4 linked regions of the Alligator mississippiensis genome follow. The protein of the gene in region 1 purifies or fractionates together with the protein of each later gene. This does not show direct contact. Links are inferred from orthologs where the notes say so. Each region holds a gene or a part of one and is shown in the gene's direction. Other genes may lie near its edges. The genes, in order: CNOT1, CAPZA1, TOB1 and CAPZA2.

Region 1 (7,756 bases):
GGAAGCTTATCAAACATCTCTCCCAGGTATACAGTTGGTCCAATAGAAGAGATTAAAAAAACCCTTTCCTTAGAATCAGTAAGGCCAAATTTTTCAGAAGTTCTGTGCCACTGGCTAGAGGGTCAAAGAAGATTTGAAGGCAAAGTGGATTCTCCAAGCTCACTGGTTGCCCCCAAGTGTTCCAAACAAATATTGCAAGTGTGGCTGCAGCCAAGGAACACTAGGCAAGAAGCCTGCCTAGTAGGTAAAGCAAGGAATAGAGAGAGGTGAGATGTGGATCTCTGAGCAAGACTGGTTTGGGAAATGAGGAATCCAGTGAAACAACTGCATCTACTTGGTTTCAAACAGTTCCTTTAAAACAGCAGTAGGCAACATTTTTTCAACAGTGGGTCAGAATGACCCAGCTCAGGTCCAAGGCAGCTGTGCACTAAGACCCAGTAGCCACTGCTGCTGCTTTCCCTGCTGTTTGGGCCTAGTACATCACAAGTGAAGCTTCCAGCAGCCCAACTACTGTGCCACAGTGCAGGTAAAGCCCTGTGGGCCATAGGTTGCCAACTCCTGATTTCAATCATTATACTAAAGGCAGAAGAAGGTTTATTGGATGCTCAACTATTCTCCAACTGGTCTTACAACAACCAGGTTGTCCCTTCTGCTTTTTAGGAAAGCTTTGCAGATCAAGCAGTGCAAAATGGAGCATCAGTTATGTCAGGCGATTTATATTATCGGGCTACGTTGGCGCCCTCCACTTCCAAGTCAACCTCCTCTCCATAGGGTGACTATCACTTCAAAAGGGGAGGGTGGGACACATGCCTACCTTCCTCCTCCCTCTGCTAGCACTACTAGACCAGAGCCAAGTGGAGCAGGGGGAGGATGCAGACTGCCTGCTGAGGGCTCCAGGCTCCCTGCCCTGCTACCTTTCCCTCAGGAGCCCCACACTGGACAAGTGCCTCCTGCCTGCCCGGCAGCAGCAGGGGACATAACTCCATGCTGCTGCTGCCACCCCCACTGCTGCTGGGCAGGCAAGGGGCGCATCCCCATGACTAGCGCAGTGTACCTGGGGGCAGGGCATCAGGTTGGGGAGCCCCGAACCCACAGTGAGCAGCCTGCATCCACCCCCACCCCATGCACGAGTCTGGGGGGTATGTGCCCCCCACCCATGTCTTTCAGCTCAACAATTTCATGTAGCAATTAAAAATGTAAAAGCCAATAGGAAATTCCCCCTTTCCCATCCTCAAATAGCTCTTACAGATTCATAGACATTAGGGCTGGAAGGCACCTTGAAGATCATGAAGTCCAGCCCTCTGCCCCAGGAGCAGGAAGTCAGCTAGGATCAAAGGATCCCAGCATGATAAGCATCCAAACGTTTCTTGAATGAGTCCAGAGTAGGTGCCTGCACCACTTCTGGAGGGAGTCTATTCCAGGCCTTGGGGGCTCGGACAGTAAAGAAGTTTTTCCTTGTCCAGCCTAAAACAGTCATGGAGGAGTTTATTGGTCCTTGCTATCTTTTGGGGTGCTCTGGTGAACAGACGTTCCCCCAGATCCTGATGCACATCCCTTACGTATTTATAGGCAACCACAAGATCACCCCTGAGCCTGCACTTTTCTAGGATGAAGAGTCTCATGGCTCTCAGCCTCTTATCATAAGGCCTATTCTCTTGCCCTCTGATCATGCGCGTGGCTCTCTTCTGGACTCTCTCAAGCTTCTTGGCATCCTTCTTGAATGCTGGAGCCCAGAATTGGATGCAGTACTCCAGCTGCAGCCTTGCCAAGGCCAAGTAGATTCATAGATTCATAGATTGTAGAGTCGGAAGGGACCACAATGGATCATCGTGTCCGACTCCCTGCCCCTGGCAGGAAAGAGGACTGAGGTCAGATGACCCCAGCCAGGTGACTATCTAGCCTCTTCTTGAAGACCTCCAAGCTAGGTGATAGCACCACCTCTCTTGGAAGCCCATTCCAGATCCTGGCCACCCTTTCTATGAAAAATGTCTTCCTAATATCTAACCTAAATCCACTCTCAACTAGTTTACACCCATTATTCCTAGTCACTCCCTGGGGCGCCTTAGTAAACAGCGCTTCCCCTATTCCCCGTTGACCTCCCCTAATAAATTTATAGGCGGCCACAAGATCTCCCCTCAGCCATCTCTTGTGAAGGCTGAAGAGATTCAGCTCTCTCAACCTCCCCCCGTACTGTCTATCACGAAGGTCACTAACCATGCGAGTGGCCCTCCTCTGGACCCTCTCCAGATTCCCCATGTCCCTCTTGAAGTGCGGCACCCAAAACTGGACACAGTACTCCAACTGCGGCCTGACCAGTGCCACATAGAGGGGAGCATCACCTCCTTTGTTCTATTAGTCATGCACGTGCTAATGCACGACAAGGTGCGACTGGCCTTGTTGATGGCCTCGTTACACTGTACAGCGGGAGGATGACATCCTGAGATTTACTTGAGAAGCATCTATGGATGCAAGCCAGAGTTTTATTTGCTTTACCAGCTGCAACATCACATTGGTGGCTCATGCTCATCTGTGGTCAGTCATGACTCCCAAGTCTCTTTCAGCTGTGGTGCTAGCAAGCGTAGCACTGCTGAGCCTATAAGTGTACTGCGGGTTTTTTTTCCTTGCCCCGAGGTGAAGTGCCTTGCATTTTTCGGTATTGAACATCCTCAGGTTTATATCCTCCCACTTACTAAGCTTATCCAAGTCAGCCTGGATCACTAGCTGGTCCTCAGGTGTGGACACTATGCCCCAAAGTTTAGTGTCATCAGTGAACTTGGCCAGTGTGCTTCTGACACCAATGTCCACATCGTTGATAACAATGTTAGAGAACCAGTCCAAGGACAGAGCCTTGGGGGACACCACTGGTCATGGAGCACCATAATGATTCACTTCCATCAACTACTATTCTCTGGGTCCCAGACATCTGACTGTGGTGTAGCCGAGACCGCAATAGTCCAATTTTTCTATGAGATCATGGGACACCAGATCAAACGCTTTTTTAAAGTCCAGATATATGACATCAATCTCTTCTCCCTTGTCCAGGTGATATGTCACTTGGTCATAGAAAGAGATGAGATTGGTCAGGTAAGACCTACCCATGACAAACCCATGCTGGCTGTCCCTCAGGCTGTTGCCATCAGCCAGCTTATCAAGGGTCTCTTGTTAAACCTTAGATGTTTGAACAATTTTTTCTATGCCATGAGCACACTGAGCAAGGAAATCATGAAGGAACATTCCCTCCCAACACAATAGTTTGTCAAGTGTTAGCCTGGTGCCACCGTACCACCTGCTTTACTTCACTCCCTCATTGAATTTAATAGTACTGTCACCCTCAAGGCCTACATCAGAGCCCTGATTCATGCTGCCATGTTCCTACCTGTCCCTATGTTATTTTGTTACAGGGCTGATTCCAAATACATACTGCATTTAGATTGAGCACCTCACCTTTTGCCCTCCAGGCATTTAAAAATGGAAAGAAAAGGGAGCTGTATGGGAAACCACAGAATCCCAGAGAAGCAGGGCTGGAAGGGAGCTCCAGAGGTCACCTAGTCCAACCTCCTGCCTGAGGCAGGATCATCTCTCTCCTGTTAAGGGGGCTGAGTTAGGTTTACACCACCTGCTTTGTTGGCTGCAGGATATCTTAAATGCCCTGCTGCTTTTCAGGTGTACTTTCAGAGTGGCATTTTCCAGCCCAAAGCAATGGGTAGGATGTCTGGCTCACTCAGCTCCACACCTGGCAGATCCGACACTGATGCCTGGGTAGGCCTGTTGCCACCTTTCAGAAACCGGGTGATGAACGGGGCTGGCATAATCCTGAAAGTCATTTGGTTCAAGCCCCTGCCCGAGCCAGCCCCGCGTTAGTCGCTCTGCTCACGTCCAGGGACGGAACAGAGAGCAAGGCAGCAGCACACGGAGGACCTGGGCTGGCGAGCTGGGCCGCTTTGCTGCCACGTGGGACGTCGAGGGGGCGTCTCCAAACCTCCAACCTGGGCCGCTGGCAGCGCAGCCCGCACAAGGCAGCCGGGCGAGCCGAGGTCACGTGATGGAAAAAGGCGGGGGAGATTGTACCACGGGGTGTGGGGAGACGCGCATGCGCCATGCCACTGTGAGACATCTGAGTGGGACTAATGGGGCAGTGAGAGGACGACGGGTTGTACCACTGCACAACGCTGGAGGGCGGACTGTACCACTGTAATCCAGGAAGAGGCAGGCCATGTGCACAGGCGTCGGACTGTACCACTGGGCAGCAGGGAAGGGTCTGAGTGGAGCGTGAGTCGGTGCTGCCCCTGGCGGGGGGGAGGGAGCTGACAGCCCCTTCCAGCCCCTGCTGTCACCGACGCCCAGCTCAGCCAAACTCCGCTATCATTAGCCGGTACTGCGCACTCAGTTTCCTACTCCGCCGGCCAACCAGCCTCGTTTACGCAGGCGCTAAGGGTTAAAGTCCTTCCTTGCTGAGAGCTGTTTCGTGATTGGCTAGAGGGACGGAAGGCGTGGTGAACCTTCCCAGCCAATCCGAGCCCGCCGCTAACTCCGGGGTGGGGAGGGGGAGGAAATGTGTGTTGGACTTCCTTCCCCCCCCCCCACTTAAGCAGCGCCCTTCTCTGATTGGACGGATTCCGGGCGCGAGGGCGCTAGCTCTGTGCGGCGATTGGGCGGGCTCGGCGTACACAGGCGGAGGGGCCCCGCCCGCTGCGTGCCGCGAGGGGACGGGGGAGGGGAAAGGCCGCGACGTGAGCGCGCGACCCCGCCGCCATTTTGTATTGAGCCAGCGGAGGCGAGCGGCGGACACAGGCAGCGCGAGAGGCTGAGCAGAGCCCGCTCCAGCCCCGGCCCCGCCCGCCCCCGCGCCTCAGGTGAGCGGCCGGCCGCGGAGGCAGGGGCCGCGGGGCGGCACAGGTCGGGGGCTGCAGGCCTAGTGTAGTAACACCTAGGCGGGACCCGGCGGGAGCCGATCGCGGGCGGGCGGGGCCGGGCCGGGCCGGGCCGGGCGCGTCCCGTGGAGGGAGCGTGGCGTAGGGGCCGGCGCAGAGCTTCCCGCAGGGGGAGCCCCAGGCTCAGGCCCTGAGGCCCGGCAGTTTCCGGGGTCAGCAGCGTGCGAGACTGCGCAGGCTGGTCTCTTCGCTGCTGTCTGGGCGGGCTCTGGCGGGGAGGGGAGTGAGTCCAGGGCCGTCCCGCCGCCTGCAGGCGCCAGGGAGAGTCCCGGAGCGGCTCGGGCTCCTTTCCCCCGCTGTCCTGCCGCGCGCGCGGCCTGCGTGCGGGCCGGGGGCCCGAGAGTGCCGAGCGGGTTGAATCCGGGCCCCGATGAGTGACCCCTGGCGGAGAGCCTCGAGGCAGCGCGACGTGTGCCCGCTTCTCCACGGATCCACTCGTGGCATCGAAGTATGCCGGACTGGCGCTAGTTGGCCATTTGGTTCAAAGGTCCCGGTTTTCTGCTTGTGTTTTCTTGTTTAAAAAAACAAACCTGAAAAGCAATTTTGAATAGGGGTTTTCTGTACACTTTAAGTATATGCATCATTTTCTTGTGGTAAGCTTTAGCTTTGTGGAGCGTGGAGGGGGAAGCGTTCAGTATACAAAACAGCAGGTCACTGGGGAAAAAATACATTGGGCAAAACTTGCTCTAAGTAGTCAAACAAATCTAGTTCATTCTTAATTGACACCTGAACCCTTAGCATTTCATTTTCCTTTTTCCTCTTTAAGCCCTTTCCTGAAGACTAAACTTTTGTGGATCACAAGTTACTTTTCCCTTTAAAAGATCTTAGCATTCTGGACATGTTAACTTTGACTCCTGTGCAAGCAAATTGTGGGCTATTACATGGTAACTTATAGTCCAGAGTTTAGAAGACAGGGTTGAAGCCATATCTCAGCCTGTTGAAAAAACAAATAAATACCTAAACAGTGGATTTGGTTGTTAAACGAGACTAATCTGAAGATGTGGCCCTAGTTATCCAGAAAACCAGAAATGGCAGCACCATGCACCTGGACTTCTAAATTTGTCACCCAGTTGAAAATGTGGAAAGAAGTTGCGTAATTCCAAGACTTGCTTATTTCGGAACTTCGTAGGATCTTCTTAAATGTAGTTTTATTTTATATGTGTATTTATAATTCCAGGCTCTTCTTTCTCTAGGCCTTGGCATAAAGCAGGGACTATTAACCAACAGCTTGTCTAAGGTTTGGTTGTGTTAATAACTACAGTAGGAATGAGCAGATCTTAAACTTATTTAACAGGTACAAAAGCTGATGCTTGTGTGACATAAAACATGCACTTTAAAATGTAGAAGTGTCAAGTTTTGTCTCTTTAGACACTATCTAGTCTGAGCTCTGCTCTTAAGGAGTATGGTAGGAAGCACGACAACTCAACAACAGCTGTCAGTATCTTTTGATTCCTGTTTCCAAGGTAACTACAGTATCTTGGATTGATGAAACTTGAAGCAAAATTAGTCCAGATGAAGTAATTAGCTTGTGAACAGGAAGTCAACTTCGTTACATAGAAATATGCTTTTCATCCTCCCTCCTGGACATTTATTGGGTGCTGTCCTCAACTTCTGTGTGCATACGCTTCTACAACTGACCCCCTTTCATTGCCAGAGCACTTGTTTTGATCTCCCTGTATCTTTCTTGGGAGGGAGACTTGCTTCATTCTTTCAGAGAGTAATTGATTTAAAATTTCTCATCTGGGAATGAAATGCTAACATGGCTATTCTTATGTTTCAGGCATAAGAATAGGTAGTGTTAAATAAAGCAGAGTAAGATTACCTTGCTGCTATTGAGGGGAAAAATGTAGTAAAACCTTGTGATGTAATGACTAGTTATCAGTAAACCCATAATGCTGGGAAAACCAGAATGGAGAAATGTAGTTTTACCTCAGTGCTCGGGTTTGTTTCTATATGCAGTTAACATTGAAGGTTATATTGTTGTTATGGAGGTTTTCCTTTAAGCCATGTTATAACATTTATTGCCAACACTTGGAAAAAACACTAGAGCTAAAAAAATAGAAGTTCTCTTTCCTGGCCTCTTAAAGATGGGTTTATGATTCCCTTACTGACTATGGTAATCGGAAGAAACTTTAAAACTTTTGTTTGACTGAAATGAAAACAGGTAGTGGATTTATCCTGGAATTCTTTATTGTGTCACATTTTCAAAAACTTGAAACTACCAAAAAGTTTCTTTGCCATGATGTATTCCAAGAAAAGCAGCTAGAGAATGAGGCTGACTAGCTGTGATTGACTTCTAACAAAAAATGCAAGGTAGTTGTGTTTAGAGAGAGCTTGTGGCTGAAATGTAACCCCCCCACCCTGCACTTACATGTTGACTGCTGAAACTGTACTTGTTAAATAGCTTGGGGGGCGGGGGGGGATGGGACATAACAGATTTTTAGCACTTATTTTAAGTGAGTGCTCTCATGCAAGTTGAGTTAGCTCAATTGTTTATCTGTATAGTTGTAATGTAAAATAAATCTGTCATTCTAGAAAATCCAGATAATTTGGTTCCGGTTAACTGAGATTGTTGTGACTTGCTAACCTGTAAACAATATTTGGTTCAAATCCAAGATGCCAGTAAAATTAATCAATAACTTAGGTCAAGTGATGACAGTTCAGGTATGCAGTTTTGCTTACCCATAAATTTTAAAAGCAATAATAGTTTTACAGTGTAACTTTCATGCAGGTATGTGTCAGAGCTTTGTTTAAAGTATTCTAATGTGAATGTTAGCTAAAATGTGTGAAGTAGTCTCCTACACATGAAAGGAAGTCAAGTTTCA
Region 2 (7,629 bases), on another chromosome or scaffold:
CACTTGGGTTTTGAAAGGACTTTGGTGACTTCACAGATAGAAGAGCACAGCAAGCTGAAAGACAAGAACTAAGATAGCTAACAGAGGACGCTGCCCCAAAATACAGCTAGCATTTCAGCTGTCGTTTCACAGCCTGGTGAGGTCCAATAATTACAACACTTCAAGAAATCTTTAGAAGTTAGAAGTCTAGCACTCCAGCTATGGCACGGAAGGCTTTCAGAAGCTGCACAGTTACTGAATGAGAAATGGCCTTTAGAAAGACCACACACATTTAATTCCAAAACAGTCAGTACTACTCTGATGCAAGTTTCTACTAAGTCTCAACAAGTTTGCTAATGAAAAAAGGAACATGGTCTTGTCCAGCACGCCATCAGCCACTGGGAACTAACAGTAAGGGCAACTGGATCCCACATCCAAAAACCACTGCAACAAAGAGCATGCCAAAAGTGAATGTGTTTAGGTCACATAGTGCAGTCACTGATTTACACCCCCTGCCTTTATTTACCCATTTCCAGTGCAACAGAAGAGCGGTCCTCTGTGCTTCTATGCTGTCTTTCAGACTGCTACTCAGGAGCAAACATACTTTTCTAAACCCTAATCCAGTCCTGCAGGGAAGCTGCAACTGGGAGAAAGCTAGAGGCAGACAGCTCCACTAAGGGGAGACCTGTGTCACACCCACCACCTGTTTAGCACTGGGACTCAACAACTACCGTCAGGCTGCATTTGAAGCTGCAGGTTGAAAATAGCCTTGAGAAAATCTGATTTAAATAGCCAACAGCTGGGATTGGCAAGAAGGGTCACTTTACCTTCAAAAAAAACAAGGGGAGAAATACACCTGAAGGAAAAGAGACAAGTCTCAATTGTTGATAAAAGAGATAAGGTTGGAAAAAGACTAAGAAAAAAAATGCTATTCTAGACACTGGTGCTGTTATAGTAACAGCATAGCTCTTCCAGCTCCAATCAACTCTTGTATTCAGCTTCTGATCAAAACGCTGAAGCATCAGTTCCTCACCATCAGCTAATGTTTTAAAAGCAAGGAAACAAGTCCCTGAAAAGAGAAATTGTCTGCTGCGTTGCAAACAGGCAGAACTGCAGCAGCACAAACTCCAGCATCTCAAATAAAGAGGCAACAGTCCTGGGAGGAGCTTATTTGACTTTCACTGGAAAGTCACACACCTGCATCAGAGTTCATAGTGGCAAAAGATGTCCTGCAAAAATAACAGCTCTTTCACACCTCTGAAGAGACACTGTCCTCTGGGCTAAAAACCCAACCGCGTTGTCTACTGTGGAAGTGACCTCTCTGAGAGGAGGCAGAACAGGGAACGCTAAGCAGCAGGCCCAGGTGCTAATTAATGAACCCCTGTCCCATTAAAGAGGGGAAGGAGAGGCAGCTGATGACAATAAACCTGAAGCCTCACGAGCTCAGCCACAAGCACGGCCATCCAGGGTCCCTTCAATTTTTAATGACACTTGTGACTACTGCAAAGTCACGAAACCCTTGTCCTTTGCTAGACCTTCACCTAGAAAACTCCTGCATCGTCCCTTTTTCGCTGCACCGTTCTAAACGCTAATCGGGATGGGTGTCGTGCTTCCTACACCTCAGAGACTCCTACATGCTTCGGAAACAACCTATCGAGGCAATTTTAAACGTGTCTGCAGGCAATAAAGCAGACTAGGAGCATGGTGGTGGGGTGCCGTACAGCATTTAGTTTTTCCAATAACCCCCAGTACCAGGTGACACCCCAAGCCAAGCTGAAACCACGGGTGCTGGGAAGCCAGCACACTCAGCCTGTACGTGGTTGTGGCCAATGACGTTATGTACAGATTCACAAAGACAATCTACCGTGGCTCAAATAAACCCGAAAGCAGGCCTGGGGGACGTTTCCAGTTCCACGCGCAATATGGACACGCGGCAGAGACAGATCTGCCCCCCCAATACGTGCAGGATCGGTGGGGTGAGCTCGAAAGCAGCCGGCAGTAAGTCCATACACACGTGCCACCCCGTAACCGCAGGAGGCCCTTTGAACGGTGAGACGTGTGGTTTCAGAAACACGTGGGGTGACTATCAGAGAGAACTGTGTGGCTGTCGTCTATAGATATGAAACCGTTACGCCCTCTATTTTTCTCTTAAAATAAAGGGCTCAGAGGTGTCGGGTTTTGTATCAACAGAGCAGAAGAAAACCAGAATGTCCTTTAGGATGGCCACCCTGGAAACGCAGCAAATCCCTCTTTTTGGGGGGCTGCCCCAGCCTCTCCTAAGATCCAAGGGAACCACCTGCCTGGCACGCTCATCGTGATATTTCGTACGTGTTTTTGGAAACCAGCACGGGACAAAGCAGGACCCCGTGAACGCTGCCAAGCCTGGCATTCGAGGGGCCTGTCCCCAAAACCTCGTCTCGGCCCTGCATGAAGAGCGAACCCCGGTCCTTTGCGCGGGCCGCCCCTGCGAGTGCACGGCACCCATGCGGGGAGGAGGGGGACGCGGGTGCCCCCATGCCAGCTCTCTGGGAGGCGTCGGGGCCCTGCCCCGCTCCCCCCCTCCTGGGGGCCCACAGCCCTCACCGGCCGCCAGCCTGTCCCGCAGCGCGTAGAGCAGCGCGGGGGCGGCCAGCAGCGCCAGCCCCGCCGCCCCCCGCCGCAGCCGCCGCCGACACCGCGCCTCCCCGCCGCCGACACCGCCGCTCTCCGCCATGGCCCAGCCGGGAACCCTGGGAGAGGGAGAGAGAGAGGGAGAGGGCGGGGGCACGGCAGCCGGAGCCAGCCGCAGCCCGGCCAGCGCCTCCATAGGCAGCGCCGCAATCAGCGCGAGCCCCGCCGGCTGCACGTGGCCGCCTCGCACCGCGCCGGCACGAGCCCCCGGGCAGCACTCCTCTCCCTGCACACACGTGCGGGCTGCACCCTGCCCCCAGCAGCCCCCGCCCCAGCTGCTTCATCCCAGAGCAAGCTGTCCCCACCCCGTCCAAACACCTCCAGGCATGGGGAGTCACCCCCTCTCTGGGGGCTTTACTACCCTCCTCATCTCCCAGCTCAGCTTCCCCTGCTGCAGCTGGAGCCCATTGCCCCTGTGCTGCAGCACTGCACAAAAGGGAGGGATACACCCTTCCCCTTGAGAGGCGCACTTAGTGTAACCCCTGCTCCAAGCAGGACCAGCCCCAGCGACTTCATCTTAGGCAAAACTGCGTCCACCCCTGTTTTAAACACCCCCAAGGGGAGCTTTACAACCCTCCTGCTGAGAAACTGGTTCCTCATCTCCCAGCTCAGCTTCCCCTGCTGCAGCTGGAGCCCATTGCCCCTGTGATGCAGCACTGCACAAAAGGGAGGGTTGCATCCTGCCCCAGGGGAGTCCCACCCCTGAGCCAAGCAGGACCAGCCCCAGCTACATCACCCCAGACAAAGCTGCGTCCACCCCGGTTTTCAACACCTGCAAGGGTGGAGATTTACCCCCTGCCTGGGGACCTTTACGGCCCTCCTGCTGGGGACGTGGTTCCTTATGTCTAAGCTCAGCTTCCCCCGCTGCAGCCGGAGCCCGTGGCCCCGCGTGCTGCCGTCTGCCCCATGGAGAGCAGTCACATCATCACACAAAAATGAGGGTTGGATCCTTCTCCTTGGGAGTCGCACGCAGTCCCACCCCTGCTGCAGGCAGAGCCGGCCCCAGCTACGTCGTCCCACACAAAGCCGTGTCTACCCGGGTGGTAAACCCCTCCAGGGATGGAGACTCACCACCGCTCTGGGGGGCCTGTCCCGTGCTTCACCACCTCGGAGCGAGGGAGTTTTCCCTAATATCCAACCTCAACCTCCCTTGCTGCAACGTGAGCCCGTTGCTCCTTGTGCGGTCGTCCGTCCCCACCGAGGCCAGGGCAGCTCCATCCTCCTGCTATCTAGTCCCCTCAGTCTTCCCTTCTGCAGTCTGAACACGCCCATTCCCCTCGGCCTGTCCTCAGCACCCGCAGCGGTCGCAAGCGCCACGAGCAAGCGGCGCTGGGCCGGCGGCACCCACCCTGGGCAGGGCCTGGGCCTGTGCTGCACCGCTCGGGGGGGGCGCGTGGCCCCGTGGGTTTGCTGCCGTCCCCCTGCCCGGGTCGGGAGCAGAGCCCAGTCACGGCTGCGCCCGACAGTGCCTGGGGCTGTCGCTTTGCCCACTCTGCAGAGGGCACTGGCCGGCCTGAGAGGCGCCCCTGGGCCCCGCCTGGCAGGTCCGGCCCTCGCTGCACGTTACATTCATGGCACGGTTGGTGAAGGAATAACTGCCGCCTTGTCCTTCTCCCAAGAGAGAGGCTAGCAATAGGGCAGCCAGGCTGCGTCTGGTTCCATGCGGGCGGGGGCAGCGCGTTTACATGGGCTACTACTTCGGAGCCATACAAGCACACTTAGCTCCCCTCAGCTGCCCACCCCCAAGATGGCGGGGGCGGCTTCCTCGCGCCTCAGCAATGCCCTTCACCAAGATGGCGCCTCACATTCCACTTCCCCCACACATACAGCTGCCCACTCCCAAAATGGCGGCGGCGGCTTCCTTGCTCCTCAGCAATGCCCTCCACCAAAATGGCGCCTCACATGCCCTTCCCCCACACAGCTGCCCACTCCCAAGATGGCGAGGGCAGCTTCACCAAGGTGGGGAGAGTATCCGGTTCCGGCAACGCTGCGGTTCCCGGCGTGCTCGGCGCGGCGGCGGCCGTGGAGTCAAGATGGCGGACTTGGAGGATCGGGTGTCGGATGAGGAGAAGGTAGGGCGGTCTCGGGGGTTTCCCTCTTGCGCCCGCATCGCTAGTGGCGGGGGCTTGTCGCGGGGCCGGGCCCCTCTCCGCTCCTGTGGCACCAGCTCCCCAAAAAATAGATATAAAACCAACGAAGGAATCAATCCAGTGCCTCGGCCGGGAGCACGAGCAGCCTCAGGCAGCGCTAGAAGCGGCCCCGAGACTAGGTTTGACCCGTTGTCAACACCACTGGTCTTTCATTTCAGCAAGCAGCGCGCTACAAACACCAGCCCCTGCCCAGGTGCGGCGGACGGGGTCTCTGGCTTCATGCTGGGGACGTCCCCCCAAACCCAACGCAAGAGGCGAGCACTTTTCTTGGTCTGCAAGCTTGTTTCTTCGTCCCCAGCCGAGCAAAGACCCCGCCAGCCGCACCTGGGCTTGGTGCACGGCTCCCTGGCTGGATGGATCACACACTGCCACAGTCCCACTGACGCGAAAGGCAAGCGAGCGACGCAAGGGGAGGCCTCTAGCCTGTTTCGGCCTCGCTTCCAGCTCTCCTGGATATCCCGGCCGAACCGTTGGCAAGCCAAAGAGCCCCTCCTGCATTTCAGATGTGAAATGCAGCGTCTGGCCTGGTCCCAGCTCTGCAGTCGGGTGCGAGGCTCCCCCGCTTGCTGCCGCAATGAAAGATGGGTTGAAATCTCGCCCCTTTTCAAACCAGCTCAAAGCCCTTCAGCTCGCCGGAGGGTGCTCCCGATGGTCCCGCGTCGAGCCCCTTGAGGTCCCTTTCAGCCCTCACCTTGTCCGATTATTTGGTTTGTTTCCTGTCGCTCTTACCAGGGCCCTGAGTTGTATGTATTTGTTTAGTCCTTCGTTCGTTTATTTTAAAAACGCCCTGGGATTGTTTTCGTCAATGGGAGGAACAAGTGGTTGCACAGGAGAAACATCAACGCTCGAGTAGCCCTAGAGGGTTGTCTGTCTCACGCAAACAGATAGGGGGAAGAAATCTCTGTTTTAAATAAATAATCGAGCATTACTTCTACTGGTAAAATAAAAATAGCTTTTGGGGGAGGAGGGGTTGCGTCTTAAATGAGGCTTTTTAAGTCACGATTCTTTCTAAACTCATTAGCGTCACTAGACAAGGAAAGGATGGTTTGCTCTGCTGTTCCTCAGTGGCTTTACTGTACAGGCAATATTACAGATGAGAAGACTGGCAACTAATAGAAGTAAATGTCAGAGATGCTTTCAGGTCTTGTGTTGCGTGGATTTGATTTTGCCAAGCCAGCAGAAAGAAGCAGCCGCAGTCTTCTGCTTTCACTCCGTTTCCTCATCGGGCCGTTCTTTTTTTAAACCTAGCTTAACAGCTGATTCGGTAGGTTTGCCTAGCATACCTAGGCCCCAACTCTGCGTTTCGCTGCATGCAAGTTTACCTCTGAAGGTCCGTAACTATCTCTTCCAGTGATGTTTCTGAGTCACTGATAATCAGTGACTTAAATGTAGGCAGACAGCAACCTCTAGTCCAGCACCTGTTCACTTCATTAATGCAGAATTAAGTCAGTAGTGGGATATAGTGGTATGATTTAACCAGATTGTTTTGAAACATGATTACCTACTTTTTTTAATGAAGACTACAATATAAAATGTTGATAATGAAGTAGAACGGACAGAATTTGGTCGCTGTGGCATAAAATAGATACCAGTAGTGGGTTATTTTACAGCAGAAGCAAAATCCTCTTCAAAATAATGACTTGGAATGCACAAAAGGATCTGTCATTGAAACTGGTCTTTGGGCTGAAACGCCCTAGATTTCATTACGAGTCAGTAGTGCGGGGGGGGGGGGGACACTTGAATTATTAAAAAAAACAGAAGTGATGTAGCCCGTTTCCTCACTGCTGTGGTTTGGTTTCAGCCTGAGTTAGAGTGGGGGGCCTGGATTCTAACACATGGCCTCAGCAAAACAACCAGGCCTAGGTTATTGCATCTCCAAACTCGGGTTGCCATTGGAGGGGATAAAGGCTAAATTAGTTTCTTACCTTGAATAAGCACTGCTCTGGCTGTTGTGAACTATTTCTACACAAACACTGTTTGCAGCTGCCATTTTGCCTGCTTAAACTAGCAAGTGGTTAGCTTCCCTACTAGATGCTTTCCCCATTTCAGAAAAAGGAAGTGCATTTCTGCCACAACCCTGCAGAGGCACTTGAAATGGTAATGATGAGGCAGGAAGTAGGTCAGGTCCTGTTTTCTTAGTTCTGCAGACATGCGTGCTGCCAGGGTGCCAGCACCCAAAGGCAAAGGTACTCTAGAATGACAGTAGTTTGACAGCTTGGTATGCAGGGCTACTTTGCTGTGTATGAGGGGGGCTTCCTTCACATTGAGCTGGATGATAGCTGTATTTAGTGGTTTAAGGTAACCATTTAGTGGTTTAAGGTAACCAAGTCTCATACCCTGGAAGGAGCAAGAGGGTAGGGAAATTATACTTAACAAAAATAGCCCGTTCCCCTAGCTCATTGCTGCTGGTTTTCAGATATGGACATGGCACTTCCTGCCTTGCACATATAATTTCACCTGTCTTGCTAAAGTAGCAGAAGGTGGTGGCACATGGGCGTATGTAGGAGTGGCCTTTTATAATTCCCTGAAACATCTGAGTCTCAGCCTTGATCTTTTAGGAAGCAACCTTTTGTACACAGAGCAGATTGAAAGAAGGTTGGATATATTAAAAAAGAAAAGAAAGTTGGAGAGAGAAAGTTACAAGTATAATGGTATTTCTTTAGCAAGGCACCTTTCACAATCCACATAATGGCCATATAATTTTCCTTGTTGCACATCACTATATAAATATGCATGTGGCTTAGTTATTGTCATGGCAGCTCTCCTGTTGGGAACTTCCCCATCAGAATGGATCTGGGTGTCTTTTAAGTGAAGCTGTCTGTACTCAGAG
Region 3 (7,557 bases), on another chromosome or scaffold:
TAACTTTAATCTTTTAAATTTAAATTTGGAATGCGTGTATTTCTGAGCATTTAATATTACATTTTAAAATTAATATTTTATGTTGAAAAGTGTCTTACCAATTATTTTAGGCACCATTTCAGATGGGTTTGGGGAAAAACCAATAGGTGGCTATGCATATTCTGAACAGATGCATTCCTTTGCTGTATTATGCAAAGGCAAATGTCATTGGGCTAGGGCAGGAGGATCAGAAAATGAATAAATGACTTGAAAGCAGCAAGTGCCCGTGTCTTGCAAATGAGTGCATGTGGATGAAGCCCTGTGCCCTCTTAGAGCCAACGGGGCTTCATATCAGAAGAGAGGTCCCCCTGCAGCAATCTGACTGCAGGACCGGGGCCTATATCTGACCAGCCTATATAGCAGGAGATTGAGTGACATGCAAAAAAATAACCATGCTGGAACGGTGAAAAGCAGGAATGTAGCCAACCCCATTCAGGCAAAGCCATACATTTGCCTTAAGTCCCACTGATTTTAAGTTAAGGACATGTTTAAAGGTAGTCCTGAATAGAGAGGTTTTCCTGAACAACGCAAGTGATGTTAGTACATCTCAACAATCTTGTCTTTTATTGACAAAACACGAGCAAAAAAACCCCAAAAACCTCACCAAAGTTTGTCCAGCGAAGCCGTGCTATTGAAAATGTGCTCATTGCAGCCTGGATTTTAAATTCACATTCAGGATTAAGGTCGATGTATGTTGTGTGGCCGATTCTCCCCTTCCTTGTGCACTGTAAATACATCTCTGTGTACAGAGTGGGTGTAAATTGTTACCATTCTGATTGTTAGCATGTTGCCCCAACTTTTCACAAAAGATTGACTACGCAAGATAGAAGGCCATGGAAAATTGGGCCTAGTTGTGTATTGACTTGGCTTTGTGAGATACCATATTATTTCACTGGGGTTCCTTCAGCTTCCTTTACTGCTGCTTTTGGTAAGTATATTACATAAAGGCTCAGACTTCATTGTTGCATAGCTTAGGTCTTGCCTTTTGGCAGCACCTCCCTCCCCATGCAGCTATAGCCAGTTGGACAGCACGTAGCATGTGTCACTGTCTGACTAATCCACAGGGGAGGTCAATTTTTTGCAACCCTAATTAACAGAGGCTGGTTCTTTAGTTGAAGGCGTAGTATAGACACTCACACATTTAGCATTCGAGTCCATTGGCGCAGCTTCTGCTGCTGGCCAAGGAGGCATCCTTCACAGAGTATTTGGTTTACAGAGGGAACTGCTGCCTGGGCAAAAAGACCTTGCCTGAATCCTTTGTCTCTCTTTCCTTCCTCCCCACTATGGTTTGAACTAGCTTGTTTTGCATTGGTTTGCTAGGAGGGAGGGTGAGCTGGGCTTTACTAGAGAGCAGAAGTTGTGTCTGTTTTTTTTCTCTGAAGGTTAGCAATCTTCCTTTTGGATAATCATGGCCATAGGGGTGAAGCATTACTGCTGGGCTCATCATGTTGTATTGATTACATTTTTAAAGATTTCCCCAGCTCATTAGGTATAATGGGGTTATTGATGAAGTTGTTTTATTTTTCTTGCTGTTGCAAATTAATCAAAATATAGAAAAGGTTTTGTACACACAGTTCCAGTCCAGGTGCATCTAAAACTGAGTCTGGACTCCACTGAGGTTTTCGCTCTGCAAACCTGGACTAGCTCCTGTATATTTTGAGGTTCTAGTAAAGTATCTTTAAGGCATTGCGGTCACCTCGTTTTGTACTAGATGTAGACGATATAATCACAATGAACAACATTCAGAACTCTCTTATCTGAGTAATGATGAACAATGTCAAGACTTATTTTGGATTTTAAGAAGAGTATTTCACTCTTGCTGTAGCTGATGACCCATCATATAGGTTGGGGCTAGAATTATGGCCCGTTCTTGGACTGCCTATCCCAAAGCATTGTGTTTGATTTTTTTCCTGTAGAAAATAATCAGCTTTACTACATGAACGGTTTCCTTTAAGTAAATTATACAAATGTTCATCTCCCACCCTAGAGACAGAAAAGAGTTAAGGATCCAACAACTGCCTTTATTCCAAATGTATTTGCCTTGTGTATTTAATCTTTTTTTTTTTTTTTATATTTAGAGTCATTTAAAGGAAGAAGTTTCCTTGAAAAAGCATTGCAATTTTTCAGAATTTTAACGCTATTTCCTAAGTCCAATAAGTTGAAGGAAAAAAAATGAAATCAGAGTTCGGGACAGCATTAATAGCTTTAATTCTGATTCCAACCTCCCAAATCCTTTGTCTTCATCACTGGACCTGAAAACAGCCATTTTTGGTGCTTGATCTATGGAGCTGTCTAGCATTTTCTCACTTCAAAAGAGGACAGAGAGATCCTACGTCCATCTCCTCTGACTCCAGGACCCTTAGCAAGGTGACACGAGGGAATGACACCTGGCAATCTTGTTCTAACAACAATTCATTCAGTTGGGGTTTTTTGCACCAAGTAGACTTCTAAGGCTTTAACTTAACCATAGTCTTGTCTTTTCACCTAAAAATGCTTTGTCATTATTTTAAAAACTGCCTTTAACAGCTAATGTGAAATAATTGCCAATCTCCCCCAAAACTACATTCCTTTCTGACCAGGTCTGGATCCTGCTCCCCCGAATCTCCTTTTTCCCTTTTTTTTGTATCTGAATCATGATTTTAAATCAGTGGTGTTAGCAATGCTAGAGTCCTAATAAAATCAAGACCAATACTTTTTAGTAAAATAATGCAGCACACTTTGGTATCGTTACATATAAAGAGTGTAAGTTTCCATATGCAACAAATTGTCATTAGTGGAAAATCCTTTTCTCCTGTAAATCCTAGATTATTTCTAGACTGCTTGCATGATAACCTGTGTATTTTAGCTGCCAAAGGGTTAAGCATCCTGGTGTCTCCTCCGACTGGTATTTCCAAATCTCTCCTGGGGCCCATGCAGCTTTGTGCCAAGGTGCTTTATTGTTATACAAACGCAAAGAAGAAAAGAAAAAGTTTTTGCTTATAAATTTGTTTTCTAAAGCTTGATCCTGCTCCTCACTTCTTGTGATGTTTGAGATAGCCATAAAACTCGAGCTTAAAAGTGAAACAGAGCCTAACAGTAATACACGCAAGTGACAGTAAAAAAGCGAAACAAGGGATTAACATTTTAATAAACTGCATGCTGTGGTTTTACTTGCCTATGCTGATTTTAATCTGACGTGAATCTCCTGAATTAAGTGACGGCACTCCTGATTTATACGGGAACGAGAGAACCCGCCCTGACTACTCCGAGGCGTAAAGTTTGTGATGCCGCATTCTCCCTTACACGCGACTGACTTTTTTAGGGGGTATTTTTCCTTGTGTTAGTGCCTAGTCTGAAACCGTGCGTCTCTCACATTTAGCAATCAGGGCTCGTGGACAGAGGGGATCTCTTTTATGACACCAACAAGATTTTTGCAAAAAAAAAACACAACATTCTTTGCAAAAATCTTGTTGATCTAATGAGAGATATTCCTTCTGTCCACGAGCCCGGATTGCTTTTTCCTCTAGACCGATACGGCTACCACCTGGATACCTAACACGAGTCCTTTTCCACATTGGTTTGAACAAGTCAGTCTTCTTATCGTATTGCTTGTATCAGGGACGGCGCCCAAAGACTCCAATGAGGATCCGGGGCCCGTCGTACTAAACTCTTTACAAGCAACTTGGCCCCCACTTCTGTCCTCTCTAGGGCAAGCCTCTCCTCTGAGGTTAGTTGCTGTTGAACTTCCTTAACGAGCGCTGTGCGGCTTCCCTGGCTCACTGCGGCTGGGGGTTTTCCACGCTGCGCCCCTCCAACGCTGCTGAGCCGGGAAGGGAGGAGACGGCTGCTCCATTCACGGCTCTTTTCTGTCTCTCTTTCTCCCACCCCCCCTTTAACTTTTTTTCCCCCCCAAACTGGAGCTTGACGTAGTCCTCTTAGATACCGAATGACCAATCGGATGGTTACTAAGGAGGGGACGTAGCCAATCGGTCATCGTTGCTACCTGTGGGTAATATTTTTAGCTGCAAAAAAAAAAAAAAAAAGAAAAAAGGAAGGGGCGGGGGGGCAACACAGGCTCATGTCATTCCAGTCTCCCCCTAAATCTGCTGCGGGTGCGGGTGCCCCCTCGGTGCACAGTGCAGTGTCCAGCTCCGTCCCTCTTGCACATGGCTCTAGGGAGCCGGCTTCTGCCTCCTCCTGCTCCTATCTCAGCCCTGCTCTACGTGGCTCGCTGTCACCGCTGCCCCTGCCCTGCCCGCAGCGGGAGCCTGCCTCGCCCTCCCTGCGCTACAGAGGGGCGGGGCGGGGCGGGGCGGGGCGGCTCCTCTTTGCCCTTGAGCAGCCGGGGGCGGGGCGAGCGTTCCCGGGGCACCTGGGAGATGTAGTCTCTGCGCGGTGACGGGCCCTTTGACGTCAGCGCCTGACGCCACCGAGGGGCGGGGCGCGTGACGCGCGTCCCCGTGCTGGGGGCGGGGCAAGGGAGGCGATATATCGCGCGGCGGCGGGGCCTGGAGCGCAGCTGCGGCGGGCGAGCCCGGGCGGACACAGCCGTGCAGCCCCGGGCCGGCGGCGGGCGGCGCGCAGCGGGCAGCGGCCATGGCGGCGCGGTGCTGAGCACAGGGACTGCGCACGGCCCCGGTGAGTGAGGGAGGGAGGGAGCGAGGTGCCCCCGTCCACCCGCCCGCCCGCCCGCGACCCCCAACTGCCTCTTATGTAACTCCCCGCTGAGGGGGCGCCGGGGGGCGGGGCGGGGCGTTGAATGGTGGCTTGATCATTTCTGTAAAATTGGGTTTTGTTCTTTTTTTTTTTTTTTTTAATCATTTAAAAATGATCTTTTAATGATTTCTAATTTTTTGTTTTGTTTGGTTTGTTTTTTTTAAATGATATTTTCATGCTTTTTGAGAAGGATGTTTTCTCTTTCTGCTTGAATTTCATTGAGTCATTGCTTTTATAAGGTTTTTAAATGGCATTTTCCATTATTTTTTGGTTTGATAAGGTTTTTTTAAATGGCATTTCCATTCTTTTAAATCGTTTTTATAAGGGGTTAAGTTACATCATCAGTTTTAATGATAGTGAAGGATTTTTTTTTTAATGGTATTTTTAATGTGCGTTTTTTTTTTTTTAATGGTCTTTATGCTTTATAAAAAAAAATTTTTTTTATTATTTTTTTAACATTGTTTTAATGCTTTCTAAACATTTTTATGATTAAAAAATATATTCTTTATGCTTTCTAAAATTGATTCTTCATGATTTTTTTTAATGGCTTTTAAAATTTAATTTTTATGGTTTCAAAGTAGTCTGCATGGTTTTAAATTATTTTTTATGGGGGGGGGTTAATGGTTTTTTTAATTTATTTATTATTGTTTTTTGCCCCTGCCGGAAGGAAAAGGGGGTGCAAGGAGCACCCCCGGTTTGCCCTTGATCTTCCCTCCCTGCTCCCCCTCCCGCAGCCCCAGCAAACCTGGAGAGGTGGCAGCTTTGGGGCTGCAAACTTTGTCCAGCCGGGGTGGGCTCTGCAAGGGGGCTTTGCCTTGGGATTTGCAAATTTAGAGCGGGGGGGGGCTCTGCAAAGGGGGCTTTGGAAATTTGGGGGGTTTCTTTGGGGCTCTGCAAGGGGGCTTTGGAAATTTGGGGGGTTTCTTTGGGGCTCTGCAAGGGGGCTTTGGAAATTTGGGGGGTTTCTTTGGGGCTCTGCAAGGGGGCTTTGGAAATTTGGGGCTTTTCTTTGGAGAGGGGTGAGCGCTGCAAGGGGGCTGTGCCCTGAGATCTGGAAATGCGGGGGGGTTTCTTTGGGGGTGGGTGTTTTTGCAGGGCACCCAGTTTCCCCTGAATCAAAACGCAGTAAAACATCTCTTTCTACCCATCTCCCTTGCAATTGCAAAAAAAATCGGGTGAAGGCATTGCAGGGTTTTCTGTCGCGAGGCGTGTCAGGGTTAACTTTGTGGGCTCCATGACTCCATTTTATACATACTGTCAATTGGGCAGAGGGGCGGAAGGCTTGACCCCCTCCCCCTCTTTGCCCCCCCCCTCCCCCCTTCCCTGCCCAGATAGGTTTACGGGGGTTTTAAAACCTGCCTTTCGCTAGTGGGTAGGATCTAGACTCGAGATCTGTGCGCTGAAGCAGCATGTTATAAAACACGGGGAAAATGTTCCACCATTACAGTGGAACGGCTCATTTAACCGTGATTGCTCACCAGGGTTAAAACAGAAAACACTCCTGTCTATATTGGGCATGCCTCGTTTGGATTAAAACGTGATTGTTCCAGAAGGAAGGGGAAACATTTCTGGTATACGTGTGGTAGACATTTTCTTTTCGGTTTGCATAATTCTCCCCAAATGCACAGTGGCTGCAGACGCCTGGCTTTGATTTGGAAAGATAAATGTGACACCCTGAAATTACATAAGTGCTGGGAAGCGTCTACATTAGCCAATAGGTATTTTATACCTATATTAATATATTAATAAGACCTATTATTTATGTACATGCACATATATATATGTGTGTGTGTGGGTGTATAGATATCTATATAGGTACGGATATATAAATAAATATCTAGATCTGTATATCTAATTATCTATATGTCTCTGCCACTTTAAAGCCCAAGTGATATGTTTGCATACTTTAAAATGAGAAATGACACTCAGGCTACGACCTTTTATGCTAAATTAACAGGTTGGTGCTAAATTTTGCAGCTGAGTTCTATAAATCACCCAGAATAGGGGCTAGTAATTGAACCCCTGACAGGCCTGGCACTGGCATGATGTCCTAGGAAACATATTTGCTGCTTTGCGAATAACTTGGGGGGGGCTGAGCTGCAAGCTCAAATCATTTTGAAGTGCCCCATGCCGTACCCATAAACACCTCCCGATGCGTCCCCCACAATATTGTTTGGAATTTAGGCAGAACGTATTTGACTTTGGTGGCTGTAACGGATCTGTTGAAAAGCAATATGTTGGAAATGTCTGTAGTTGAGAAATAATCTCTTCTGGTACCACCAGAGGCTAAAAGAATAGGCCTTGGAGCTTGAAATGACACTCGCCTTATTTGGATATGTTTGCTTTTGTTTTTTCTTAAAGGAACAAGAACACTCAAGGTGTGAAGGATAATACTCAACTAGAATCAGCACTTCGGATGAAATTGTGTTTCCCTGTGGCATCTTGAACACTCGTTTTCTTTGGGTTTTGCAACAGACTTATAACTTTGTGGCATAGCAGCTATGCAGCTTGAAATCCAAGTAGCACTCAATTTTATTATCTCGTATTTGTACAATAAGCTTCCCAGGCGGCGTGTCAACATTTTTGGTGAAGAGCTTGAAAGACTTCTTAAGAAGAAGTATGAAGGGCACTGGTATCCAGAAAAGCCATACAAAGGATCAGGGTTTAGATGTATACATATAGGGGAGAAAGTGGACCCAGTCATAGAACAAGCATCCAAAGAAAGTGGCTTGGACATTGATGATGTTCGTGGCAACTTGCCTCAGGATCTTAGTGTTTGGATTGACCCATTTGAGGTTTCATACCAAATCGGTGAAAAGGGAC
Region 4 (7,620 bases), on another chromosome or scaffold:
GGGCCGATCACGAGGTGGCCGATCAATCACTGCGGCCTCTTCTGGGAGTGTCACTCCCCAGCTGGCACTTGCAGGGTGGGCACTGGAACTCCTGCCTGCCCCCTGCCCTTCATCTAAGTGGTGAGTGTGGCTGGTCAGGGGGTGCACCAGCGCTCTCAGGGGGTGCACATGCACCCCTGTGCATCCCCTACACATCGCCACTGCATGCTCCCATATAGGCTGGAGTAAACTAATTTACTCTGCAGCAGGATAGTACTAGAAAAAAACTCCACAGCAGTGGAAAGACTCTACACTTGCTGGCTGGGGCATGAGGGTGCTTCAGCATGGGAGCTGCCTGCCAGCTAGCTCTGCACTGAAGCAGCTTTGTGCCCCAGCCAGCCCTTCCACAGTAGGCTGAGCACAGGGGAGCAGCAGTCCTGGGCTGGCAGGCTAATCCCTTGGATCCCCTGCCAGACAGGGCTGTTCCAACCCAGTTCAACATGCTGTGGTCCTGGGTGAATGTTCAAATGGCAATAAACTCCATAGTTTATTGCTTTGCATTACTTACATGTGTAGATATGCCCTGTGATTCTGAATTGTCTATGATTCTATAAACCACATGGGAGTCTAATATAAAACCTGTCAATTCCCATCCTTGTAGCAGAAGGAGTACGCATCAACTTTAGCATTCCAATCATATGATCCACCTCACCACATTTTAGTAAAAATATGAAAACCATTTCATATTTCTTTTCACATTTGAACATCTCCAACTCCTCTTATAACCTAAGTTCCTAGTATTAATACATAGATAAAATACATGTTCCTTACCTATTCATGTGCGCTCAGATTTCCTGTGTGATACTTTGGGGCTTATTTACACATTTGAATGGTTTCATTCCTGTTTAGTGTTAGTTTAAAGCTCTGCCAGCTAGTCTACTTAGTTTATCACTCAAGTTATTGGTAGCCCCATTACTGAGGTGGAAGACATCAGAATAATGCAATCCCCCCTTTTTCCATACTAAGCACCTCAATATTCCTCTCTCACTGTAATGTTCCACAAGACAAAATCTTCCTCATGCTACTTACCTGACCACTTATTCACTGCCAGCATCCTTGCTGCTGAGGTGAAACTGTACCTCTATGGGTGGGTCTACATGAGACACCATGTTGTTGTAATGATGAGCTACTGTGCAGTAGCTTGTTGCTACAGCACAGTAGTGTCAGAAATGACCCGTGCAGTGTCAGGATTGCGCAGTAACATTGGTTACTACGCAGTCATTTAGTACTTGCTCAAGCAAGTACTAAACTGTGCAGAAACAACTGTGCAATCCAGCGCACATGTAGACGCATGCTGTATGAAGGAAAGCCTCCAAACTCCCTCCCACAAACTCCCAAGGAAATTCTACTCCTTGAAACTTGAAGAAGCCATTTTCAAGGTGGTGTGGCAGTAAGGTGCATGGTTGATAGCCCAGAGGTTGCACGTTCTAGATTATAGCAGAAGTGTTCACAGAGCAGCCATGTCACATCCCAATGAGTCTGTGAGTTCTGGTAAATACCTTGTCACAGGGACATGGGAAGGCAAGGAGGACCCCAGAAACTCCATTCTCTCCCATAAGCAGCAGTATGTGCTTGCATGCCTTAGACATATTGCTGAGTGGGTGTCTGAAAATCTGGGCATTTTTAACTGCGTGTCTGCCCACATGAATTTTCAGTGAGCATGTTTAAATGACTAATTTTACTACTGAAATGAAGAAGGTAAGAATTGCACAGAATTGCACATGGAAACATCAAAATCAAAATGTTTAATTCTGAAAATGCTGACTGGTCTGTAGCACTCAGCCTCACACTACAGCCCTTTTGCCCCCTACAAACCAGACTGATGCCGCTTGCAATATATTCTGACACTCGAGTAGGAGCTATAGATTATTGCTGACCCAACAACAGGAGTAAGTGAAGCCCAATATGTTTCAGTTATTTGTGTATAACCCAGAGCTACTAACATTTGCTTCATGGCATTCCTGCAATTACCAAAACCTGAGTTCAATCTGTCTGAAAGTATGAGGAGCTCATTCTTGCTGATAACAGTGCAGGGAAAAGTTCAATTGGGATTTCTGGGGGAAAAAAAGTAAAGAGGAGATGCTTATCCCAGCCTGGGAAAGGCTTTGTTAGTTGTGTGTCCACCCATTGCTAAAGGGCATTCTGATTCCATCCTTGGTGTGCCATGCACTTCTCATTTGTGCAAGACAGGCTAACGATTGTTTAGTAGGAAAGCCAACCACTCTCCTTCTAGCCTCTCTCTCTATGTATGCCTCTCTTTGTGTTGATAGATGTATGATAATTATATATTAATAGAGTAAATTTAACCCTGGTGTGAGGTCTGATAGATTGCTGCAAATGTGGCCAAAATGTACAGTAATTCAGACTGATCCAAAGAGTGTGAATCATAGAATACTAATCAAAGGAAAGTTGGGCTAGAAGAGACCTCCACAGGTCACATCTAGTCCAATCCCCTGCCTGAGACCATTCCTATGCAAACCATTGAATACAAATCCATACTCTAATCTCTTAGTAAAACTTCTGTCAACCCTGACACACAAGTGCTTACGTTTCAATATCTATTTAATATTGGATCAATTTTCCATCTTCAGATGAGCTTAAATTGTATCCTCCCTCACGTGTGCGGACTTACTCAGAATAGTGTTATTCATGCAATGGTGCTTCTAAAGGTGAGCATGCAGCAGCCTGGACTCTGAAGTAGAATTTGAATGAGACACTTGTGTGCCAGGAGAGGCAGCGAAGAAAATACTATTTACAGTGACACGGTCACATGTTAAGGACAAAAAATATTCAGGAACATGAACATCTTGTGCCTCCTGTGGCTGGGAGGGACATGGCGACCGCCCGCAGGTGGCAGCCGCGGTGGCAGGGATGCAACAGCAGTGAGCAGGGACCGTCCACAGGCAGCCGTGGTGATGTTGGTGGTGAGGGTGGGCCGAGCAGGGACCATCTACAGGAGGCCATGGTGGTGTCGGTGGCAAAGGGGGAATGGTGAGAGCCAGTGGCAATCAGCAACTGTCCGCAAATGCCACTGGCAGTGGAGGGGGGGGGACAGGGGTAGCAAGTGGTGGCCACTCGCAGGCACCGCCTGCAGCATCGGTGGTGGCCTCTCAGTGGGGTGCACATGCACCTGCATGCACCCCTTACACATCATCAATGTTCAGGAACACAGGAGTGGAAAGGGACTCATGGGCCATCAAGCCCAGTCCCTGACAATGATTGCATGCCCTTGCAATCCCTCAAAAAACCACTTGAACCTCATGTTTCAGGGGTGTACTTGGTAGCCGTGTTGGTCTGAGACAAAAAGACATACAAAAAACTAGAACTCTTGGTTCCAAGAATTCTTGAACCAATTCTTGGAACCAAGAGCTCTAGTTTTGTGTATGTCTTTGAGGTCTCATGCACATTTGTGCACTGCTAAATGACAGCAGTGTCCTAGGGAGTGTTGAGGTGCTGTTGTTGCTGTGATGATGAAGGAAAACAGCCAGAGGCTGCAAGTCTTGGGTAGCAGGATCATACAAAGCGAGGGTTGGAAAGGGCCTCAGGTCATCTAGTGCTAGTCTAACCCCTGCTCAAAGCAGGACCATCCCCAACCAGATCCTCCCAGCCAAGGCTTTGTCTAGCTGGGTCTGAACAACCTCCAAGGATGGACAGTTCGGAACCTCTCTGGGCAACCTGTTTCAGTGCTTTACTACCGCCCCGAGAGTTTTTTCCTAATATCTAACCTAAACTCCCCTTCCTGCAACTTGAGCCCGTTGCTCTGTGTTCTGCTACCTGCCACCACTGACAACAGTCTAGCTCCATCCTCTTTATAACCCCGCTTCAGGTAGTTGAAAGCTGTTATTACATCCCTCCTCAGCCACCTTCTCTCCAGATGAAATAAGCCCAGCTCCCTCAGCCTCTCCTCACAAGTCATGTGTCCCAGCCCCCTCGCCATTTTCCTTGCCCTCCACGGGTCTCTCTCCAATGTGTCTGGTATCTCAGGCTGGGCTGTCCCATCCACACTTGTTAAAACAGGACCTCTGAGGCTCTGATGGCAGTTTTCAAGCCCGGGGGCCTGTCCTTGCTCGGTCTCCCTCAGACACAACCAGGCACCCCCTGGCGCAAGCAGGTGCCCCTGGCAGCGTCCCCAGCTCCGTGTGAATCTACTCCGGGAGGTTTCGTCACAGGATGTAACGACATTAATGACTGATCTACTGTCCTGTACTCAGCAAGGCATTACTATTACATTGAAAAAACCCACTGCACTCCTGCATAAATTAGATTCAACATTTAATATTTATTTCAATTTGAAAGAATGCCCGATCTATCCCTGGCCCCTCAAGCAGTCGCCTGGAGACGTATCTATTTCCGGCACGCTCCAGGTCACCCCGTCCGCGGCCGCGAAAGGCCAACACCCCGCGGCGCCCGCGCAGGCGCAACCGGTCACAGGCCACCCCCGCCGGGGGGAGGGGCGCTGAGGCCGCCCGGCTCCATCCCGCCCCGCCCCCCAAGCCCCGCGGTGCGCATGCGCCTTCCCGCCCCGCAGTGCGCATGCGCCTTCCCGCGCCCTCCATTGGCCGGCGACGGCCCCGCCCCGCGGCGCAGGGAGCGCGCGGCTCCGCCCTGCCGCGCAGAGGGAGGCGCCCGGCGGTCGCTGCCGGACGGGAAGATGGCGGACCTGGACGAGCAGCTGTCGGACGAGGAGAAGGTGAGGCGGCCCCGCCCGGCCCCCCCCGCTGCAACCCCAGCCCGCGACGGCGCCTGGCAGTTGGCGGGGCCGGACCGGGGCCTGCGGGCGCGGGGCGGCGAGCGGCGGCCCCGGCCCGGGGACCTCTCCGCGCCGCTCCTTGTACGGTCCGAGCGCCGAAAATAGGAGCCGCCGCGGGGGAGGGGGCCTTGGGCGCTCAGCCTCGCCCTTCCGGGTCTCTGCCGCCCCGCCCCGCCCCCGGAGTCGCCAGGGGGCCCTCCCCCGGTGCTGGGTGAAGGAGCGGCCCCGGGCAGGTGAAGGGGCGCGGCCCGGGGCCGTGTGGGCAGGGCGAAGGGAAGCAACACGCTAGGAAGGGAGCTCGGTGCCCGGCTCTGGGTGCCGCCGCCCTTGCCCACAGGGCTGCTGTGGCGCGAGAGTTGCCCCGGAGATGCCCCTGGGAGGAGGGGCGGCTGCAGAGCCCGGCCGTGCCGCCGTTTCCTCCCTCTGCTCACCGCTAATGCTCCGGGACCAGGGTGTGGTGGTGGTGGTGCTGGTGTGTGTGCAGCGCGGGGATGCACTTCACCTAATTCTTCTCCTCTGGGTTTCTCCCTTTTTTTGTTTTGGATGGAAAGGTCAGTTTAGGGGGCTGCTGAACCTGTGGAGATGATTCAGATGTGAGAGAGAATAAATGAAGCTTCAGATATCTTTGACATGAGGGTGGGGGTTAACATGCCTTCATGTTCACTGTAGCCAGGGAGTCCCTCCATGTTTGCAGCACTGAGTTGCAGATCAGGGAGCTGAACGAAAAATGCTTCCAGTACTTGGTTGTTGGTTGAGAGCTCATAGCAGCAGTCTCCCAATGCCTGAAGAAGGGTGTTTGTGCCCCAAAAGCTTGCAAATAATTTTTTTTCCAACTATTAAGTTGGTCTAACAAAAAATATCACCCCTACCCTAAGACTCTTGCCTCTGTTGGAGCACCCACAGTGACCTGGGAAGAGCCTGTAAAGTGTTAGTTTGCCCTGGTAGAAGGTATTTAGTTAGTATGTCAAAGGGTAAACTAAATAAAAAATAAGCCTCAGCATTTACGCTGCTAAAAAGTATTTGCCACTATACTTATTAATACACATTGCTGCTGCTTTGCACTGACTCCAACCTATCACTTCTGCCCCCTTTTCCAGCTCATGCCACATAATGGTGTTTCTCTGAGTTTCTCTTTCCCTTGTCACCAATCTGATGAAGTTCTGGGCTTGCTTTTTTCCAAAAACATTCTGTTTTTTTCTTTTCCCAAACAAACTCTTGATTCTCCAGGCTTGTAAAATCAACATCTACACCTCAGTGCTGCAAGTGAACACTGGGCACCATTGTAGGTCTGGGGGCACCGTGGAGCTTAATGACCTGCAGGAAGCCTTCCATTTCCCAGTACTTTTTTTTTTTTCCATGGGGCATGTGTACTTGTCCCAGTTACAGTTCAAGTTGCTTTGTGGTGCTTTTTCCACACACACCTTCCCATTTGAAGTGCTAAAAGCTTAGAGCCTCCCTACTTCCTATCTTCCCCCCTTCTCCCCCCACCTGTGCTAAAAAGAAGTAGGAGCATTAGAATTGTTTTCTTTTCCCCTTCTCTTCCATCAAGAACGGAGCCATTGATTCTTTTATCCAGTTCAATCCTGCAAAAAAATTTGGATTTTCTTGTGTAGCTGGATTTTACCCAACACTGGCAGCATATATATTGGGAAATAAGACATTTGTAAGTCCTTTATACAAGACAGGCTGATGTGACTGAAGTTCTGTAACTCAGATGTTCTCAGCCTTTGCAGTGGAGATGCATCTACCATCCAGGGCATATCAAAGTGCAAAGGTGTTTGAGGTATAATCAAATATTTTCTGATTGAACTGCACTTATGCTTTCAAAAGCAAGTGTCCAAGGTGTGCTATCTTTGATGAGGAAATGTGTGCCACTTGTGAAGCTTTCATCTACGGCTATATTATCATGTTTGGATGACTGTGTTTAGGGAGGATTTAACTAAATCCACATTTGCCCCTTACACCAGGATATATGAGGGTTTTTTCCCCTTGATAAAGTTGGGAGTATATTTTTAAATCGGTAACTTGTTCAAGTAGAACTTTTCTACTGTTTGACGCACTCCCCTTAATTATCATTGTATAAATCATTCAGAAGCAGGTTCTCTTATGTGTGGAGCTCTTTAACTAAATTTCTTCTAGAACGTCTTATGTCTCTGTTGCACTTCTTAATGATGTCAGAATTTGCATTCTTTTTTCAAGCTAAAATATGGCCCAGCACAGCTTCAAACTAGTTTAGCATGCTGAGTAAATCATTGATAGAGCTGTGATTTTTGTAACAATAATTCTTAATTTACCAGCAGTTATACACATGAAGAAAAATACCCATATTTGCAGAAAAGCTACTGTCTGCTACACTTTTAAAAATAAACAATTACTCTAAGTGGTTTCCCCACTGCAGAGTAATACTTCTGAGAGTTATAATTTGGAGAACTAATGCCATCATTTTTTCCCATAGGCCAGTATCCCTTTCTGAACTACGTCTTCCCTCATGTTATGCATTATCCCCCCTAATGAAGTGGGAAGATGTAGCACAAGAGTTTTTCTTTCTCTGTTTTCCATAGTAATGGCCTTGACCACATCAGTGCCTTTAATCATAGAGATAACACAGTTCAAAAACACACCCTTTTTGCCCTCTTAAGACGGGGCCATGGGGTGGTATAGAAAGGAGAAATGTACTAACATTGGCCAGAAATAGATGGTACCAGTGGCACTCTCCTACACTGATGCAGGGCCTGTAGTAGTCGTGCTGGTGATTCTGGTGGTCTAATGGAAGAGGCAGTGTTGGCAGAACTATAGACATAATCCTAATGAGAGAACTGAAATTCAGGGAA

What was found.
Region 2: the proteins of CNOT1 (region 1) and CAPZA1 purify together in Homo sapiens (affinity purification with mass spectrometry; 3 studies listed by BioGRID and IntAct, with this or other methods). This does not show direct contact. The link is inferred for Alligator mississippiensis from reciprocal best matches to the Homo sapiens genes CNOT1 and CAPZA1.
Region 3: the proteins of CNOT1 (region 1) and TOB1 purify together in Homo sapiens (co-immunoprecipitation; 3 studies listed by BioGRID and IntAct, counting the BioPlex papers as one, with this or other methods). This does not show direct contact. The link is inferred for Alligator mississippiensis from reciprocal best matches to the Homo sapiens genes CNOT1 and TOB1.
Region 4: the proteins of CNOT1 (region 1) and CAPZA2 purify together in Homo sapiens (affinity purification with mass spectrometry; 3 studies listed by BioGRID and IntAct, counting the BioPlex papers as one, with this or other methods). This does not show direct contact. The link is inferred for Alligator mississippiensis from reciprocal best matches to the Homo sapiens genes CNOT1 and CAPZA2.

The regions. Positions count from the first base shown.
Region 1 is NC_081833.1:39,165,363-39,173,118, reverse strand, and holds the start of CNOT1 (CCR4-NOT transcription complex subunit 1), read left to right. Parts: upstream 1-4,750; 5' UTR 4,751-4,853; intron 4,854-7,756.
Region 2 is NC_081837.1:44,706,431-44,714,059, forward strand, and holds the start of CAPZA1 (F-actin-capping protein subunit alpha-1), read left to right. Parts: upstream 1-4,628; 5' UTR 4,629-4,682; coding exon 4,683-4,721; intron 4,722-7,629. Other genes in the region: ST7L (suppressor of tumorigenicity 7 protein-like), read right to left, coding at 2,563-2,692. UniProt on the Homo sapiens protein: F-actin-capping proteins bind in a Ca(2+)-independent manner to the fast growing ends of actin filaments (barbed end) thereby blocking the exchange of subunits at these ends.
Region 3 is NC_081831.1:10,649,459-10,657,015, forward strand, and holds the start of TOB1 (protein Tob1), read left to right. Parts: upstream 1-4,545; 5' UTR 4,546-4,656; intron 4,657-7,095; 5' UTR 7,096-7,235; coding exon 7,236-7,557. UniProt on the Homo sapiens protein: Anti-proliferative protein; the function is mediated by association with deadenylase subunits of the CCR4-NOT complex. Mediates CPEB3-accelerated mRNA deadenylation by binding to CPEB3 and recruiting CNOT7 which leads to target mRNA deadenylation and decay.
Region 4 is NC_081827.1:49,190,360-49,197,979, reverse strand, and holds the start of CAPZA2 (F-actin-capping protein subunit alpha-2), read left to right. Parts: upstream 1-4,620; 5' UTR 4,621-4,690; coding exon 4,691-4,729; intron 4,730-7,620. UniProt on the Homo sapiens protein: F-actin-capping proteins bind in a Ca(2+)-independent manner to the fast growing ends of actin filaments (barbed end) thereby blocking the exchange of subunits at these ends.